Linked DNA regions of Kluyveromyces lactis. The protein of the gene in region 1 interacts with the protein of each later gene in a pairwise test. Links are inferred from orthologs where the notes say so. Each region holds a gene or a part of one and is shown in the gene's direction. Other genes may lie near its edges. The genes, in order: VRP1, ARC35, LAS17 and BBC1.

What was found.
Region 2: the proteins of VRP1 (region 1) and ARC35 interact in binary tests that used the Saccharomyces cerevisiae proteins (3 or more experiments, as listed by UniProt). The link is inferred for Kluyveromyces lactis from reciprocal best matches to the Saccharomyces cerevisiae genes VRP1 and ARC35.
Region 3: the proteins of VRP1 (region 1) and LAS17 interact in binary tests that used the Saccharomyces cerevisiae proteins (3 or more experiments, as listed by UniProt). The link is inferred for Kluyveromyces lactis from reciprocal best matches to the Saccharomyces cerevisiae genes VRP1 and LAS17.
Region 4: the proteins of VRP1 (region 1) and BBC1 interact in a two-hybrid assay, tested with the Saccharomyces cerevisiae proteins (2 studies listed by BioGRID). The link is inferred for Kluyveromyces lactis from reciprocal best matches to the Saccharomyces cerevisiae genes VRP1 and BBC1.

Annotation. Positions count from the first base shown.
Region 1 is NC_006038.1:536,957-541,078, forward strand, and holds VRP1 (Vrp1p), read left to right. Parts: upstream 1-1,582; coding exon 1,583-3,352; downstream 3,353-4,122. Other genes in the region: KLLA0_B05995g (heme-dependent oxidative N-demethylase family protein), read left to right, coding at 1-268; ERV1 (flavin-linked sulfhydryl oxidase), read right to left, coding at 3,430-3,961, 4,048-4,122. UniProt on the Saccharomyces cerevisiae protein: Involved in cytoskeletal organization and cellular growth. May exert its effects on the cytoskeleton directly, or indirectly via proline-binding proteins (e.g. profilin) or proteins possessing SH3 domains.
Region 2 is NC_006042.1:670,690-673,754, forward strand, and holds ARC35 (Arc35p), read left to right. Parts: upstream 1-1,424; coding exon 1,425-2,405; downstream 2,406-3,065. Other genes in the region: MRPS12 (mitochondrial 37S ribosomal protein uS12m), read left to right, coding at 521-1,024.
Region 3 is NC_006039.1:433,207-437,551, forward strand, and holds LAS17 (actin-binding protein LAS17), read left to right. Parts: upstream 1-1,513; coding exon 1,514-3,475; downstream 3,476-4,345. Other genes in the region: CTS1 (chitinase), read right to left, coding at 1-100; KLLA0_C04752g (uncharacterized protein), read left to right, coding at 322-726; KLLA0_C04796g (uncharacterized protein), read right to left, coding at 3,601-4,345.
Region 4 is NC_006042.1:1,351,409-1,355,835, reverse strand, and holds BBC1 (Bbc1p), read left to right. Parts: upstream 1-1,484; coding exon 1,485-4,040; downstream 4,041-4,427. Other genes in the region: PEX35 (Pex35p), read right to left, coding at 162-1,199; pseudouridine synthase PUS6, read right to left, coding at 4,199-4,427. UniProt on the Saccharomyces cerevisiae protein: Involved in the regulation of actin cytoskeleton.

The DNA of each region.
Region 1 (4,122 bases):
AGGTCATGATTTGCATTACAGATCTGAAAGACAATGTCTAATCAAATTAGAAAACTCAAAATCAATGTGTTTTTCTATCAAGACGTATCTATGGAACTTGCAAGATGAGTTCTTAGCAAACGATTACTATTCACAGGAAGGTGTTATTCAGGATTTATGTGACGCAGTGAAAGGAATGCAAGATTCAATTGGACAATACAAGCGTAAACCCGAGTGGGGGCCAGCATTGCTTGAAATGCTTGAATCAGCATTACATAGAAAGTTGTAAATAACTTTAACGAACAATATTGACAGATACTCTTAAATTAACGAGTGTTGTTAATAGAGCTTGAGTCGAATGTGAATGCAGTGACGAAAAAATAAAAAAGCTTCTCCGCGACGGGGAATTGAACCCCGATCTCGCACGCGACAAGCGCGAATTCTAACCATTAAACTATCGCGGAATAGATATTTTTATGAAAGATTGAGAAGACATTCCCTCACAAGTCTGGAATACGAAACCATGTGCAAGAAGTTCATTTCCGAGACTAAATTATAAGGCTTTTTGGGTAACCAAGGTTCGAATCACAAAATACCATACGATTTAGAGATGTGCCCCAGTTTCCTGGGTAAAGGACGCTATTTATGCATCCAAAACCATTCGTGAAAATTCGTGATGATGTTTTTTAGCATTCAACAGAGGAAAATCCACAGAAACGAGGGAAACACACAGCAAGAAGCTGTGAATTTATCTTCAATTTGGGCATCGCTTTGAATCCATGCACCACTGAAAGAAAAACTGCGCACGGATCTTCGAAGATGCCACTTAAAATCTATATACTATGAGGACGGATTCCATTAGCTAAGTTAAAAGAACGACGACAGAAAATGCATTACTTCGCGTTAGGACACCTGTCACTAACAAAACAAAGAATTGACAACGTATTACATCTTGCTGTGGAATATATTAGCTCAATTTTTAATCCAATCCCCGATGGTGGTGGTACTAGCTATAGATAGTGTACATGATATATAGATTTCAGTACCTTCTTCACATAGTAAGTTGTTAAGATGCTTGATCGCCTTTGAAAACTTTTTTAAGACAAGGTCCAATACCAAAATGTTACCCGAATATATTATATTGGTAAATTATTCGTATAGGGCTGGTAACTGGGAATGGCACTCCACTAAAACGATGTTCCTCATTTAGTTACTACATGCCGATGCTACCGCGAAATCATGAAGAGGTCCAGTGAACTTCGTACTGTAGTAGTATCATAGAATCGTCTTGCATTGCCGTATTCTTCTTGATTATTGATTTAGCACCGAACTGAAAGTGTAGTGTCTGGGTGGAAAGTGTAGTGTCCGGGTATCCTTGAGGCTTCCAGATATCAATTAGCTATTTAAAAATGAAAGAAACGTCAAATCAGAGAGAAACAAACTGTTGCAGTGCATAGGGGTCCACTGCGTTTAAGGTAGTTATTCGAAAAGAATCATAGCGATACCAATTGACCAGTGTGTTTCCGCTAAAAGTTCTATAAGACTTAAGGATTTGAGCATACTTTGTTATAGATAACTTGCTGAACATAGAAATTAGAATAATATGGCTGGTCCACCTCCACCACCAGCACCTCCTCCGCCTATGTTTGGCGGAAATTCATCCAATGCTGGCTCCGCTGCAACTCCTGTCCCACCCCCAGCGGCTGTTCCAGGACGTGATGCCTTATTGAGTGATATTAGGAAAGGTGCAAAACTTAAGAAAGCACACACTGTGGATAAGAGTGCACCTGCGATTGGAGGATCAAGTTCGATGAGCCACTCTGTATCAGTATCGAGCTCAGCAGTCCCGCCTGTAGCACCATCGATCCCGACTCCAACTCAGCTTCCCGGTGTCCCTCAATTGGGAGATATACTTGCTGGTGGGATCCCTAAATTAAAACATGTTTCGGGTTCCTCTAAATCACCAGCTATTCCATCTGGAGCTCCTCCGCTTCCGGATAGCTCTTCAATCCCAAAAATTCCTTCTAATAGACCACAGCGTAAAAAGACTTTGAGAAGTGAGGGTGATTCGTCAGTGGCGGCTCCTCCTGCTCCTCCTCCAATGGCAGCACCGGCAATTCCAACAAGTCCGCCACCAGTACCCATGATGAACACACCACCGGTTCCGAAACATCCTCCAGCAAGACAACGCACAGAAGCACCTCCGGTTCAAGCACAACCTGCTCCGCCTGTAACGTTACCACCTGCACCTCCAGCTCCTCCTATAGCCGTGCCACCAGCTCCGGCACCTCCAGTACCTCTAGCACCTCCCACAATTAGCACCCCTCCTGCGGCCCCACCAGCACCTCCTACGCCTGCACCTCCTACATCTGCACCTCCAGCTCCAGCACCTCCAGCACCTCCCATAATCAGTACCCCTCCTGCAGCCCCACCTGCACCTCCAAGCATATCATTCCCAACGTCCACGCCGCAACCACCACCATCTGCACCGTCCCCAGCTGGAGGACTTCCATTCCTGGCGGAGATTCAACGAAAGAGAGATGACAGATTCGTAGTTGAAGGAACAGGACATGGTGCGTCGAATAATACAGCATCTTCCGCTCCAAAGGTACCGCTTCCCTCATCATCTGCTCCTCCGGCTCCTCCTTCGTTCAGTGCTCCTTCGGTTCCACCAACTCCAGCTCCTGCTGCTCCACCTTCAATTGCTGCTCCTCCGGCCCCACCGGCTCCTGCACCTCCTGCACCTCCTGCCCCTCCTGCCCCTCCGGCCCCACCTACTCCTTCCTTTAATGCACCTACGCTGCCTCAATCTACCCCAAGTTCTGAAGCACCATCTATTCCAGCCGGAGGATTACCATTTCTGGCATCAATACAAAGCAGAAGGGATGATTCTCACATTATCGAAAGTGAGAATAGTCATACACCAGTGGGTGCGCCAACGGCTCCTCCTTCCCCTCCTCCACAAGCCGCTTCATTTCCCTCTGCCAAAGCTCCACCACCTCCACCCGCAGCCTCAGAGGAATCTCTTCAACAAAATCAGCAACCTCAAGTGGAACGCACAAATAGTTCCTCATCAAAAGGTTTCTTCAAACACAGACTTTTTTCATCTGGTAATGAAGCCAGTCGACCATCTCAATCTACTAACCCTTACACAAATGCTGCTGAAATAGATGTCGGAGATTTCACAATAGAAGGAAGTCAAGATACGACCGGAATAAAGCTGAATAACAGTGGAATAACCATTGATGATTCAAAATTCGATTGGTCTAACAGAAACGATCTCCCCAAACCGAGACAATTCTTGGGCTTAAGAAAACTATATCCAAGTGGCAGAGGTTCAAGTGTTCCATTAGATTTTACTGTATTTACATGACTTTATAATGAGTAAGAACTATATAAGATATTAATGAAAGCATTCCTAGACGAGTGGAAGAGGAAGAAGTATAACACTTAATCCCACCCATCTACCCACCTTTTCTTCCACAAATCGCAGTTGAATTTCTCCTTTCCCAATTTCTCATTAACTTCATTATGTGCCGCACAAATCCATCTACCTAAGTCGTCTTTTGAATCAACCTTGGGTGCGTTCTCTTTTATAAATAGTTCAAAGTCCTTAGCACACCACCCGCATGGATAAACATGAGAGAATATGGTCATAAATTGTTTCATTTCTTGTTTCTGTGTGTCCGATGGCTTATTCGGATACTTGGCAGCTATCGTATGTAACAAAGTCCAAGAAGAACGGCCTAGCTCTTCGACATCAGCAGGCCCAGACTTAGAGTATGTCTTAGATCCAGGAATCAACAGTGGCTGGTCAGCTGAAGTATTTGAAATATCTGTCGCGGCCCCAGCTGCTAATTCACCGGAGCCAGGAGACTGAGTGGAATCCGCCACTGGTGAAGCAGAAGAATTGCCGCTTCCCCGAGCCTTCAAAGTGCCGGTCACAAATTGAAAGTCCAACAAAGTATTGCATGAACGACAGCTAGATTGATAGTACATAAACGTTAGTAAAAGTTTTCTGAAATTCGATTATTTCGTTTCTCGATATTAGGGTTGCAAAATACGAACGGTTTTCCATCTTCATCGTAGATGATTTTTCTTCCAGACAGTCCAAATTCTGGTGTTTTAGAAGTTTCAGTACGG
Region 2 (3,065 bases), on another chromosome or scaffold:
TCGCTTTAACACCAGCCTACCTAATTACTCGAGCCCGGAAGTCAAACTACCCCGCAATATTCTATCACGCATAATTCAAGTAGTTGGTTCAAACACCCTATTTACCTGCACCCACCTTACAGCTTGATCGTCCATAATCCAGTATAGTTGTTTGATATTTCAAAATAGGAAATACAACAACTACCTCAGTAAGGACTTTTCTCGTAATTCGGAACCCGCATAGTGCAGCTGGTGTTCCCAACGAAATGAACAAAATCTTTTAGGTTAAAAGATCTCTCAAACCATGCACATTTTCTGAACAATTTCCCGGACATCAGCAACAACACATATTCGATCACATGACTTCCGAATATTTTCAACTATGATTTTTCATCATCAGAAACTGACAAAAAATTATGAAGCAAATGTTGAATTGAAAGAGTTATATCAATCGGTCAGTGAATAAATGTTGGCGTAAGTTCAACTCTGAGTTTGACTTACGTGCACTGGATCTTAAGAAACAATCCTGTCAAAGATACCAATGTTCAAACAGGTTTTCGGATTGAGCAGTAGTCTGACTAGACTATCGTTGCGTAATGTTCGTTCAAGCATAGCATTTGCACCACCACTGCAACAACGTTCTTTCTCATATACTTCACCAATACAAGCCACGTTGAACCAAATAAAGAGAGGGGTCAAGCCTCCTGGCCGTAAGAAGATCACTGAATCCCCAGATTTGGAGGTATGCCCGATTCGTAAAGGAGTTGTGCTAAGAGTGATGGTATTGAAGCCAAAGAAACCTAATTCTGCTCAGAGAAAAGCTTGTAGAGTGAGATTAACCAATGGTAACATTGTTTCTGCATATATCCCAGGCGAAGGCCATAACGCACAAGAGCACAGTATTGTATATGTTCGTGGAGGCCGTTGCCAAGATTTACCTGGTGTGAAATATCATGTTGTCCGTGGTGCCGGTGATTTGGCCGGTGTTGTCAACAGAATCAGCTCCAGATCGAAGTACGGTGTGAAGAAACCAACAAAGGAGTAAGATACCAACAGTATTATATTCTGAATTATCAACATAAAATATATACTTATGTTTATAAACTAGACCTTCATGTAAATATGCGAATAATCTATCTACTGGTTGCTCAATCTTTATGGCCACGTGACCGAAATTTTGTTCGGATGGTTTTTCCATCATAGAAAAGTGCTGAAAATTTAGTTAACAACGATTTCAACGAAAAGGTGCCCCTATTGGAACAAACAGAAAGAAAGATTCATCATCTGCAAGGAATTGGGAAATTTCGAAGAGACTAAACCTGCTCAGTGTTGAGGAAACTTACAAGTTGATATTGTTCCAAGTCAATTGAAGAAAAGCTCATAGACTTGTTCGAAAAAAAAGCCTGGGTGAACACTTGTGAGCCTTCTAATATCAATACATAATAATGTTACACCTTAAACCATACAACCTATTGGTCCAAAAGACATTAACAGAAGCTTTGGAAGCTTACAACAATGGGTCTCCTTTAACTTTGGACAGAATCATCTCCGACTTTGATTATACAACGTTACACATCACCAACGATGGCACTGATAAGTCGAACCTATTAGTTTCCATCAGAACCAAGGCTACGCAATCTTGTAATGAGAGTGGGAACGATTTACAAGGGTTCTTGCAGGCAAAATTCGATGAAGTACCAGGTTTGGCTCTATCATCTGCTAAAAAGGAGGCCGGTTACGATTTTACCATTACTGTTGATCTATCTCAAATCACTGCGCAATCTATTGTGCAAGCATCTTTGTTTAAGATCCTTGTAATGTCATATCCATTCTATTTAGCGTTTGGCCAGAGTAATGCTCTTTCTCAATTGAATGAAATAGACCAAGTGGAAAAATCAAAGGAGGCCAGGGCTATGGTTATCAAATACAGAGATGATGAAAACATATACATCAAGCCGTCCTTTGATCGTATCACTGTTATATTCGAAACTATATTCCAAGATGAAACTGACAAAGTTTTCGGTAAAGTTTTCCTACAAGAATTCGTAGACGCAAGAAAGAGAAATAGATCCATCCAATCTGCGCCTCAAGTGCTATTCTCCCATGAACCACCTTTGGAAATTCAAGAAGTAGCCCAACAACACGCTCACGTTGCAGGTGCTAAGAAGTCTACCAGGAGATTCATCACATTTGTATTGTTCCCACGTCACTACTCCTCCGATGAACTAATGTTCACATCTGTGTCACAGCTTGCCCTATTCAGGAACTATTTCCATTACCATATCAAGTGTGCTAAGGCATACATGCATTCAAGAATGAGATATCGTGTTGATACATTCATCAAGGTCTTGAATAGAGCAAAGCTAGACGAAGAAACTGAATCCGATTCACGTAGAACAATCACCGGTAGAAAAATGGTCTACTAAGTAGAAATTGGTTTCAATAATGTGTTTAAAGTATAAAATAGAATGCTGCCGATGTAGCGATTTATATCACGTGACAAGTAGATGATCCTATTCAGATTTTTTTCCCTCCGTAATGCCATGCAATTGCTGGGCAATAAACGCTCGAGCCTTGAGTCAGTTCTAACACAACCAAAGAGGAATGGAAAAAAAAAAAAAAAGACCGGGTAAAACCTACCTGAGTGGAAAGAAAAAAAAAAACAACGCAACTCCGAGTCGGACCATTCCGTCCCAGTTTTAGAGTGCTTGAGAAGCTCAAGAAGCTTAATTTTCAATTTTCCTCACCCTTGTTGCAGCTGCGAAGTAAGGCACAAGGTAAATGGTACATGGCCTAACCAGAGTACTAACGCCGGTCAAGTTTGGGCTGGAATTAGCACTGCCCTGCCTTGCCCCTTCCTTTATCTGTCCAAACCCCACTTCACAATTCAGAACGGAATGACAGCTGGGCAAGCCTATACTGCCAATGTTCGCAAACTTGCATTCTGGAACCAAAACCCTACGGCCTTACCTGTTTAGCCATTCCTTACATGGTAATGCCATTTGTGCTTTTTTTTTTTCCTTCATTAATTCTACGCCCACGTTACTGGGTCTTACCCAAACGGAATATATTTTATGATATCGTCG
Region 3 (4,345 bases), on another chromosome or scaffold:
GGCCCCAATACACAGCGACGTTATCTTTAGCGTTTATGTCAAATGCCGAGGTGAGCAAAAGTTGAACCAAAGACAACAGAAGTAAACGAGGGTGAAACATTGTAGATTCTGTTAATACTTTTAAAGGAATGAATGGAGGGTGTTCTCTAATTTCAATACTAGTATCCTGCGAATGTCAGAATATGTAATCCTTTAATAAAGAGTGACAGATTAAAATTTAAAGGCTTGTATAGAGAGATAGCACACGCACACAGGTAAGTACTGTTATGGTAGTATTAGTAATTTTTGATATCTTGTATTTCTGGTGACCAGTTTAACACAATGATTGATAGTTGCATTACTGGTACCTCATCCTGCCATTGTTGTGCCCTTTATATACCAGAAATCACAAAATATGACATCGAGCTGGACCCCAGCACTTGTTTCAAACATTCCAAAGCATGTAAACAAACACACCACAGAAAGCATTCTCAAACACTTGCTCCTGCTCACTGTTTATGTTTACTCTGTTTCGTTTCGTTTTGTTTCGCAACATCCAAAAGCTGTTCCTGTAATATGCTAAAACATAATTTCGTGTCAAAAAAGTGCCTAGGAAAAAGAATTCTTTTTGGAAGAGTTTTACGCTGGACTAAAGAGAAGAAAGCATTTACGTTTAACGTAACTGTAAACAAGACACAAAATGTAAACCCAATCACGCCGCCTGTTGTAAACTATTTCACATCATAAGCACGCAATCCAAACACCGTCCACCTGCAAAAAAAAACCATCTTTCGATGTTTCTCCCTCTGATCTCTTCGAGCATGTAGCTGTTGTTTACCTTTTGAATACCGCATGCTGGTTGCCAAAAAAACCCAGCATAAAGCGATCAACACGTACAAAGTGATTCTGACTTTTGTCAGATGCTGCAGTGCCAGACGGTTCCTGGGTCAGGACAGAAATTCTTCTGCCATTGTGCCGCTGTAACCACGTCCACATGCGTCGGCCAGATGTATCAGTAAACAGAACTCTTAATTTTTCTCCGTATTATGTTCGAATGCGTGTTCGTACTGAAATGCTTCTTGTCTTTCCTGTACCTTGCAGTGACCTAAATGGGCACACTGTATTCCCATTTACAAATGGTCTGTTAGTACTTTTGAATTCAATATGGCAACTTGAACAAACCCCATTGTGTAAAGGTCCTTTTTTTTTTATCTCTCTCGCAGTTCTGTTGGTCCCTTCTTCTTTCACTGAATCACTCTGTGAATTATAGGGGAATAATGCCGTATTAAGAATCGCTTCAACTTTCAATATTGAAAAATTGAAAAGTTGCGAAATGTTAAACAGACCGAAAACTTAAGAACCGTAAATTATAGTCAGCCAAACCCCCCCACTCCCTAAAGTGCATCGCGCGTTTGTGTTATTTTCATTAGAACCCATCGGTAGCTGCCTCCGTCAAGAATTGATTTCAAGTTGAACGAGTTTACACTTCTTTTGAGAAATTAATAATCATAAAGCAGTTGTTTCCGAGTATACTATGGGAGGCTTGAATTCTGCTGAGAAAGAAAAGGTTAAACATGCTTTGCCCAAGGCTTCTAACAAGATTATAGATGTTACTATCGCTAGGTTATACATTGCATACCCTAATCCAGAGAAATGGGTTTATACTGGCTTATCTGGTGCCATTGCATTGGTGGACGATATCGTTGGTAATACTTTCTTTTTGAAGTTGATCGACGTGCATGGGCATCGAGGTGTTCTCTGGGATCAAGAATTGTACGTGAACTTTCAATATAACCAGGATCGTACTTTCTTTCATACCTTTGAATTAGAACAATGTAACGCCGGGTTGTTATTCACCGATATTGGCGATGCTTCACATTTTTTGAAACGAGTACAGAAACGGGAGAAATACGCGTCCAAGAAGACCTTGGCCAACAAGAATGCAATTGCATTAGAGGACCAAATTAAGAAAGAGGAAGAGAGTAAAGTGATCCATGGTCCAAGAGGCGAATCCTTGATCAGTGACCAAAGGGTCAGATATAGATATGAACCGGAAAAGCACGAGCACCGCCAGGAACACCATTACGAGCAGCCCAGCCAGAATTATGCTTCAACTGAAAACTCAGCTTCAGATGCAAGTGCCGCTCCTCCTTCTTTTGCCTCGAAACCACCGCCACCGCCTGTCGAGAAACAACCTCCTCCTCCTGTGAGCATCCCATCTTATAAGTACGACTCTATTCCATCATTCCCAAGCTCTCCTGCACCTCCATCGGTTTCCTCTACTCATTCTCCTACCCCGGATTCATCCTATGCATCAACACCAGCACCAAGTAATCCTCCTCCACCAATAAACCACCCGGTACATGCAGTTCCTCCTCCTTTACCAGCAGAACAATATCGTCCACTGGCTCAGTCACCTCATCCGCAATTCCAGCAGCAGCATAATTCTCCTTCACCTGCAGCACCTCCTTCGATTCCGCCTATGCAGCAAAGCGTTGCAATCCCTCCTCCACCTTCCCATCCAGCTCAACAACAAAACGTCACTAATAACAACACTCCTCAGTTTGGACAATATTCTGTTGCTGGTCTGCAACCACCTCCGAGACCAACTTCAACGAGACCTGGTATTGCTCCTCCAGTTTCGAGGCGTGGTCCGGTACCACCTCCCCCTCCAAGACGCTCAGCTGCTCCGCCGTCCATTCCTTCAAGAGGTCCTCTACCTAATGCTCCAACTGGCGGTCAGCATAGTCGTACTGGAAGAGGGCCTCCACCACCACCACCACCTAGACGTGGTGGCCAGGCTCCTTCTCCACCTGCAAGCAGAGGTACAACTCATAACTCAGCCATCGGCCCTCCCCAGCCCCAGCTTCCACCACAAATGCAATCTCCTCCTCTTCAACAGCATAATACCTACAATGCAGCGCCTCCTGTTCAGCAATATCAACCACCACAGCAAACCGCATACATTCCGCCTCCCCCTGTCTTACCACCCCACTCAGGTGTAAGCACTCAGTATCACCCATCGACCGAGCCTATGTTAGCCCAACCCCAGCATCATATAGCGGTACCTAATGGCACTGCACCTCCCCCAGCACCTCCTGCCCCTCCGGCACCTTTTGCTCCACAGATAACGAACTCAGCGCCCGCACCACCACCACCTCCTCCTCCTCCTCCAGCCCCTGCATTTAATCAACCTGAAGCAGGATCTGGTTTTGTTGAAAATACTGGTGATGCTGGAAGGGATGCCTTATTAGCATCGATTCGTGGAGCTGGTCTGAATTCCCTCCGTAAGGTGGATAAATCTCAACTTGAAAAGCCAAGTCCTTTGTTACAAGAAGTTCGTAGTGATGCGCCGGTATCTCAACCCACAGGCGGGTCAACTGGCGGACCTGTTGGTGCTCCTGCGTCCTTGGCTGATGCCCTAGCTGCGGCTTTAAACCAAAGAAAGAATAAAGTTGCTCGTGACGATGATATAGACAACGGTGATGATTGGTGAAAGTAATTCACCCTACTTGAACTGCATCTGACTAGACTGTGGAATTATGATTTGGTATTTGTATGTACGGTGTACCTATATATTACTTTCAGATGCCTTTAAAACAGAAGACAGATAAAACTAAACTAATTATTCAAAGAACTCCACTTATTTGACCATACCTGTATCCATTTCAACTTGGACTCATCTGAACCGTTTAGCTGTGTAATAATTTTTATAACTTTCTTAACATCATTATTGATAGCAAGTACTGATGTTTCCACTTCTGGATCTACTTCATATTCAGCGTTCACTAAGGTGGATGAAATTAAAGTATCAGAGTTAGAAACTATTGAATTGTGGAGTTGATTTAGCTCAGATAGATATGCTGCTGTAGTTACAGTATCCTTTTTTATGGTTATCGATTTGGATAATGAACTCAACAAGAGCTTAAGGAGACGAGATTTTTGCGATAGTGATTTGACAAATTCAATCATGGATTCTGAAGCTTCCTCTTCCTCTTCTTCATCTAAATCCGTACCTTCCTCATCACTGAACTTGTCATTCATTCCGAATGGGTCTGAATTTATTACTGGATCCTCCAACCACTCTTCTAACTCTTCGATTGAATCTTGTAGAAGCTTCACTGAAGAAGACAAATACTCAGTCAAGAGTCCTAAGTTACCTTGATTTGATAATAACTCTAGGTGTTCACATTGCGACCAAAGCATACCAATCGAAATGAGTCTTTCTTTCAAAAATTTGGCAAGTTTCTCATCCTCGGCAATAATTGGATCTTTAAAGTCTTTTGCATCTGAGTTAACTATTTCAACTAGTTCATCTGATAATTTGTGAATGCTCTGAACTAAAGAAACAATATCATTATCCAAT
Region 4 (4,427 bases), on another chromosome or scaffold:
ACGAATCGTGATATATATATATATACGTATGTATACGGGATCTGTGTATAGATCAACATATGCGTAACATTTATATACACACCGACACGAAAAGACTCTAATTAGAAAAGGAACACACGCATATTGATACAAATCAAACTAGGAACAAATCAGTCTGTTTATTAGGCAATTGGGTTCCTGGTTAGATATGAGAGACTAAGGGCAGCGAAAATGATTGGTTTTTGATAATGTGGTATCCTACCAAGTTCTTGAGATAACGTTGATCTCCCCAAGTATTTGAGTAGCTCCCAGTTAATATCTAAATGTTGTGGGTCGCTCAGCAAAGTGAATGACAACATGATGATGATCGATTTATGTAATGGCTTTAGACATTTGGAATGTTGACCGTTGAAGATTAACATCACCACCTGTCTCCAGAGCGTCCATTTTACACATTTGATAAAATTGTCACTGAAGAAATAACCATACACTCGTTCTTTGACCGACCCGCTTGATTTCTTATCGGATAACTCATTTAACTCTTCTAACCTTTGCATGAGTATCCTTGTCATTGAACCATGTTGTGTCTGAGATTCCTTTGCCTCTGAATCGAACGTCATTGAGGAAGTATTCACTTTATTCTTCTTAAGCTTCTCTTTCAAAAGGATGGATTTCACATTCTTATAAGTCTTGACGACATTCCATGCGACAAATAACAAAAGGAAGTCCTTCCAAGGTTTTCTAGTCTCGAATAATATCCTGTATAATCTCCCCTTCGATTGATTTCTGTGGTATAGGATTGGTATCAAGAGACTAGCTGCCAATTGCCTGAGAAGAATCCAACGGCGTTCGCTTATACTGGAATAATCAACCCAGAGCTTGATTTGATCTACAACAGATTCTACAGCCCAGTATGAAACAATCCAATGCGGTAGCTTAGCCTTGAGCTGCGAGAGACCAATCGTTAAACCCAGGAACCAGCTGGCATGTCTTTGACGAATTATCCTTCTCAGTAACGGTATAGCAACAACGATAGGCAAACCATCGAATAATGAACTGGCCGTTAACTTCCGGTGCTTTTTTAACAATGCTATAAACCCATTAACACCAATAACTCCAACGATGCGACGATACAAAGCGTTTCTATCAATTTCCGAATCATAGTCGTACGCTAAAAATCGAATGAATCTCGCCAAACGAGTATTCGAATTCAATGTCATGCCTTATCCAATCAGTCATAAGTTCTGCAACCCTCACCTGCTGATTGAACGTTCATATATGCCTTTCAATTGACGTGAAGTCTATCATTCGTTCGTTATCTACCTTTCGGTGAAATCTAATCCTTTAAAATTGTTTGGAAAAATGTTACTAAAGCCTTTGAAATTAAAACGATTCCTTATATCGCGAACTTTTCACCACCCCTTTAACAAAGAACACTCGGCGAGTGAAATAAAAGGACCAGCTTACTAGAAGAACAGTTCTCGAAACTAGATTACGTGTTAAAGATGTCTGTGCCATTTAAGGTCGAGGCATTGTTTCCATACACCTCAGATTTTGAGGATGATTTACCATTTTCCAAAGGTCAGATCATTACGGTGCTTGAAATAGAAGACGATGAGTGGTTCTTTGGTGAGTTTAAGGATGCTGATGGTAAAACAAAGCAAGGTATTTTCCCCAAAGGTTTTGTTAGTGAACCTTTGAAGGAAACTGCTAGTGAGCCTGCTCAAGAGAAGCAGCCAGAGGAGAAACCAAATGTGGAAACTCCGGTCAAGATTCCGGAAACACAGACTGTCAATCCAAATGCTGCAGCTGCAACTGCACCAGTCCAGAAGGGAAAGGTTTCTCAGGATAATGTCAGACAGTTGAGAAATAGTCTGTCGTTTCAAGAAGGTTCTGGTGATACTGAGAGGAGTGGTTTTGTTAATAGCGATGATTTGGTAAAGGAGGCTAAGTCGGAATCTAAAATGTCCTTGCAGCAAAGGATATCCATGTTACAGCATATGCAGAAACAACAACAGGAACAGGCGGAAACTTTGCATAAGCGGAAAAAAAGTATTTCTAGTGTGTCGTCCCCAACCGGCAGCGTTGCTACTGCTAGTGCAACTTCTCCAGTTAATATTGAAAAAAGGGAAAGTTATGATGCCTCTGTTATTGAAGATTCCGATGCTGAAAATCCAGAAGTTGATGTCAGTACTTCTAGCATTCACACAGCTCCACCAATTCCTAATGATACTGCTTCAATTGGCTCTCACCCTCAGCGTACCTACTCTATTCCTGAGGAGTCAGTTAACGAGAATGACGATCGTGATGATAATGATGAAAATGAATCTTCTGAAGACGAAAATGAAGAGGAACAAAGACGTGCTGCTTTAAGAGAAAAGATGGCAAGACTAGCAAATGCAAGTAGATACGGTATGCCTAATGCGTACTTCAACCCATTTGGAATGCCAATGCCTTCTGCTGACTCTTCGAAGACCCCAACCAAAAGCAAGAAACCAAAGGAAGAATCTGAAAGTCCAACTGAAACGTCATCTCTTCCAACAGCGGTTCCTGTCATGCCATTTGCCGACCCATCGATGCTGCCAATGTTTAGGAAGAAGACTGAAGAAATTGCTGTGGAAACTTCTGGTCATGCCGAAACCCCAGAAAATCAAGCTGACGAAGAAAGCGAATCTAGCTTTGTAGATGGAGTCGATGATGCTCAACCTGCTATTACAGGTTCGGTGAATTACGACAAAGACCCAGACTTCCAACATAAAGATGAAGTACCCGAGGGAAGTCAAGGCCTTTCTGGATATGAATCCGAAGATGAAACTACTAAGAAAGTGGAAGATGAAGAAGAGGAGGCTCCGTCGCCAACTGTTCCTCAAAGAATTAGGCCCACTCATGTTTATACAATTGATACTTCTCCGGGATCCCCACAAACTCCACAAACTCCACAAGCTACTAACGCCCCACAAAAATTGCCCGCAGCCCCTCCAATTCCATCTGCTCCTTCCGTCCCGCCAATTCCAACAGGTGCACCAATTCCTCCTGTTCCTTCAAGCGTACCTGTACCACCATTACCAACAAAGGCTCCAGCACCAGTTTTAAGCGTTAAAACCGAAAACACTGAGCAGAAACTGCCAACAAAACAGCCCGCTGCTGCCCCTGCTCCTCCAGTACCAAGCAGTGGCGGCCCTCCACCATTGCCTCCTTCTAATGCACCGCAACGAAGACCTTCAATTCAGACTATTCCAGGTGCAGCAAACTCATCACCAGCCACTCCTTCATCTGCTGCTCCACAAATTCCGGCCAGTTTCCAGCCATTAAGACGGACAACTACGGCGAAATTTGAACCAGGTACTATTCCAGAATTAGAGTTCTCAAAGCAAAGTACTTGGTGGTTAACTAAGACAGTTCAGGCTGATACTGTTAAACCAAGCAAAGTAAAATACATCTGGGAATCTCAGGATCACATAGTTGAAAGAAGGAATACAAATAAGTTGGTTGTCAGAGATTTCCAGTTCTTGTTCGAAGATTACTCTCAAATTCAAGCATATGTTGTATATGATCCAAAGAATCCAATTGAGACAGCAATTTCCCATCAGGACTATATTCCCTCCTCATCACAAAGTACTGGTAGTGATCTGTTAATCAAAACAATTTACGAAAACAGTAACAAATGTGTTGGTAAAGCTTGTCATTCATTTATTCCTCAAATATTGGGTCCAATAGATAATCTAGTCCCACCAATTGCTCAAAGAACTTACGGTATCACCGTTTTTGAACATGCTTATAACACCGCAATAGATGAAGCTGCGCTAGGAAAATTGGTACCAGGTTTGATACTTGTTGCAAGAAACGCTGAATTTACCTTTGACGATGGTTTAACGTACAGCTTGGGAATAGAAACGCCGTTTGTGGCCATTCTAAAATCTGTGGATCTTGAAACTCAATCTTTATCAGTGATTGAAGAGCTTGGTGGTGAGTGCAAAGTATCTATGTATCCACTTGAAAACTTGACTAAAGGAAAGTTAAAGGTGGCCAAGCCAGTACATCGCAAGGACATTGGTTGGTAAGAATGATACAAGGAAGTAAAACAAATTGACCTCTTGAAGAACAAATGCAAGAACACATATGCTGCTATTTGAATAAATATATAGTATATACAATATTGATTGAGAAGGATACTAAAAAAGTTAAATACATGAATAAAGAAACAACTCAAAACTTGATGTTAAGCTTGTTTCTCATTTTCGAACTTCGCCCAGTAGGGATAATCTGTTTCAAACTCCAAATCCAAACCTTTGTATCTCCAAGCATGTAGATATAGCTCTAACGATTCTGGAGTTGGATCTTTTGGCATTTCTTCGTCGCATTCAGGACATCGTTCTTGATTTTCATTCAATTGATCCCAGACATCATCCAGTTCAACCTCGAACCGCTTCCGTAGCTTTTCGATTCTT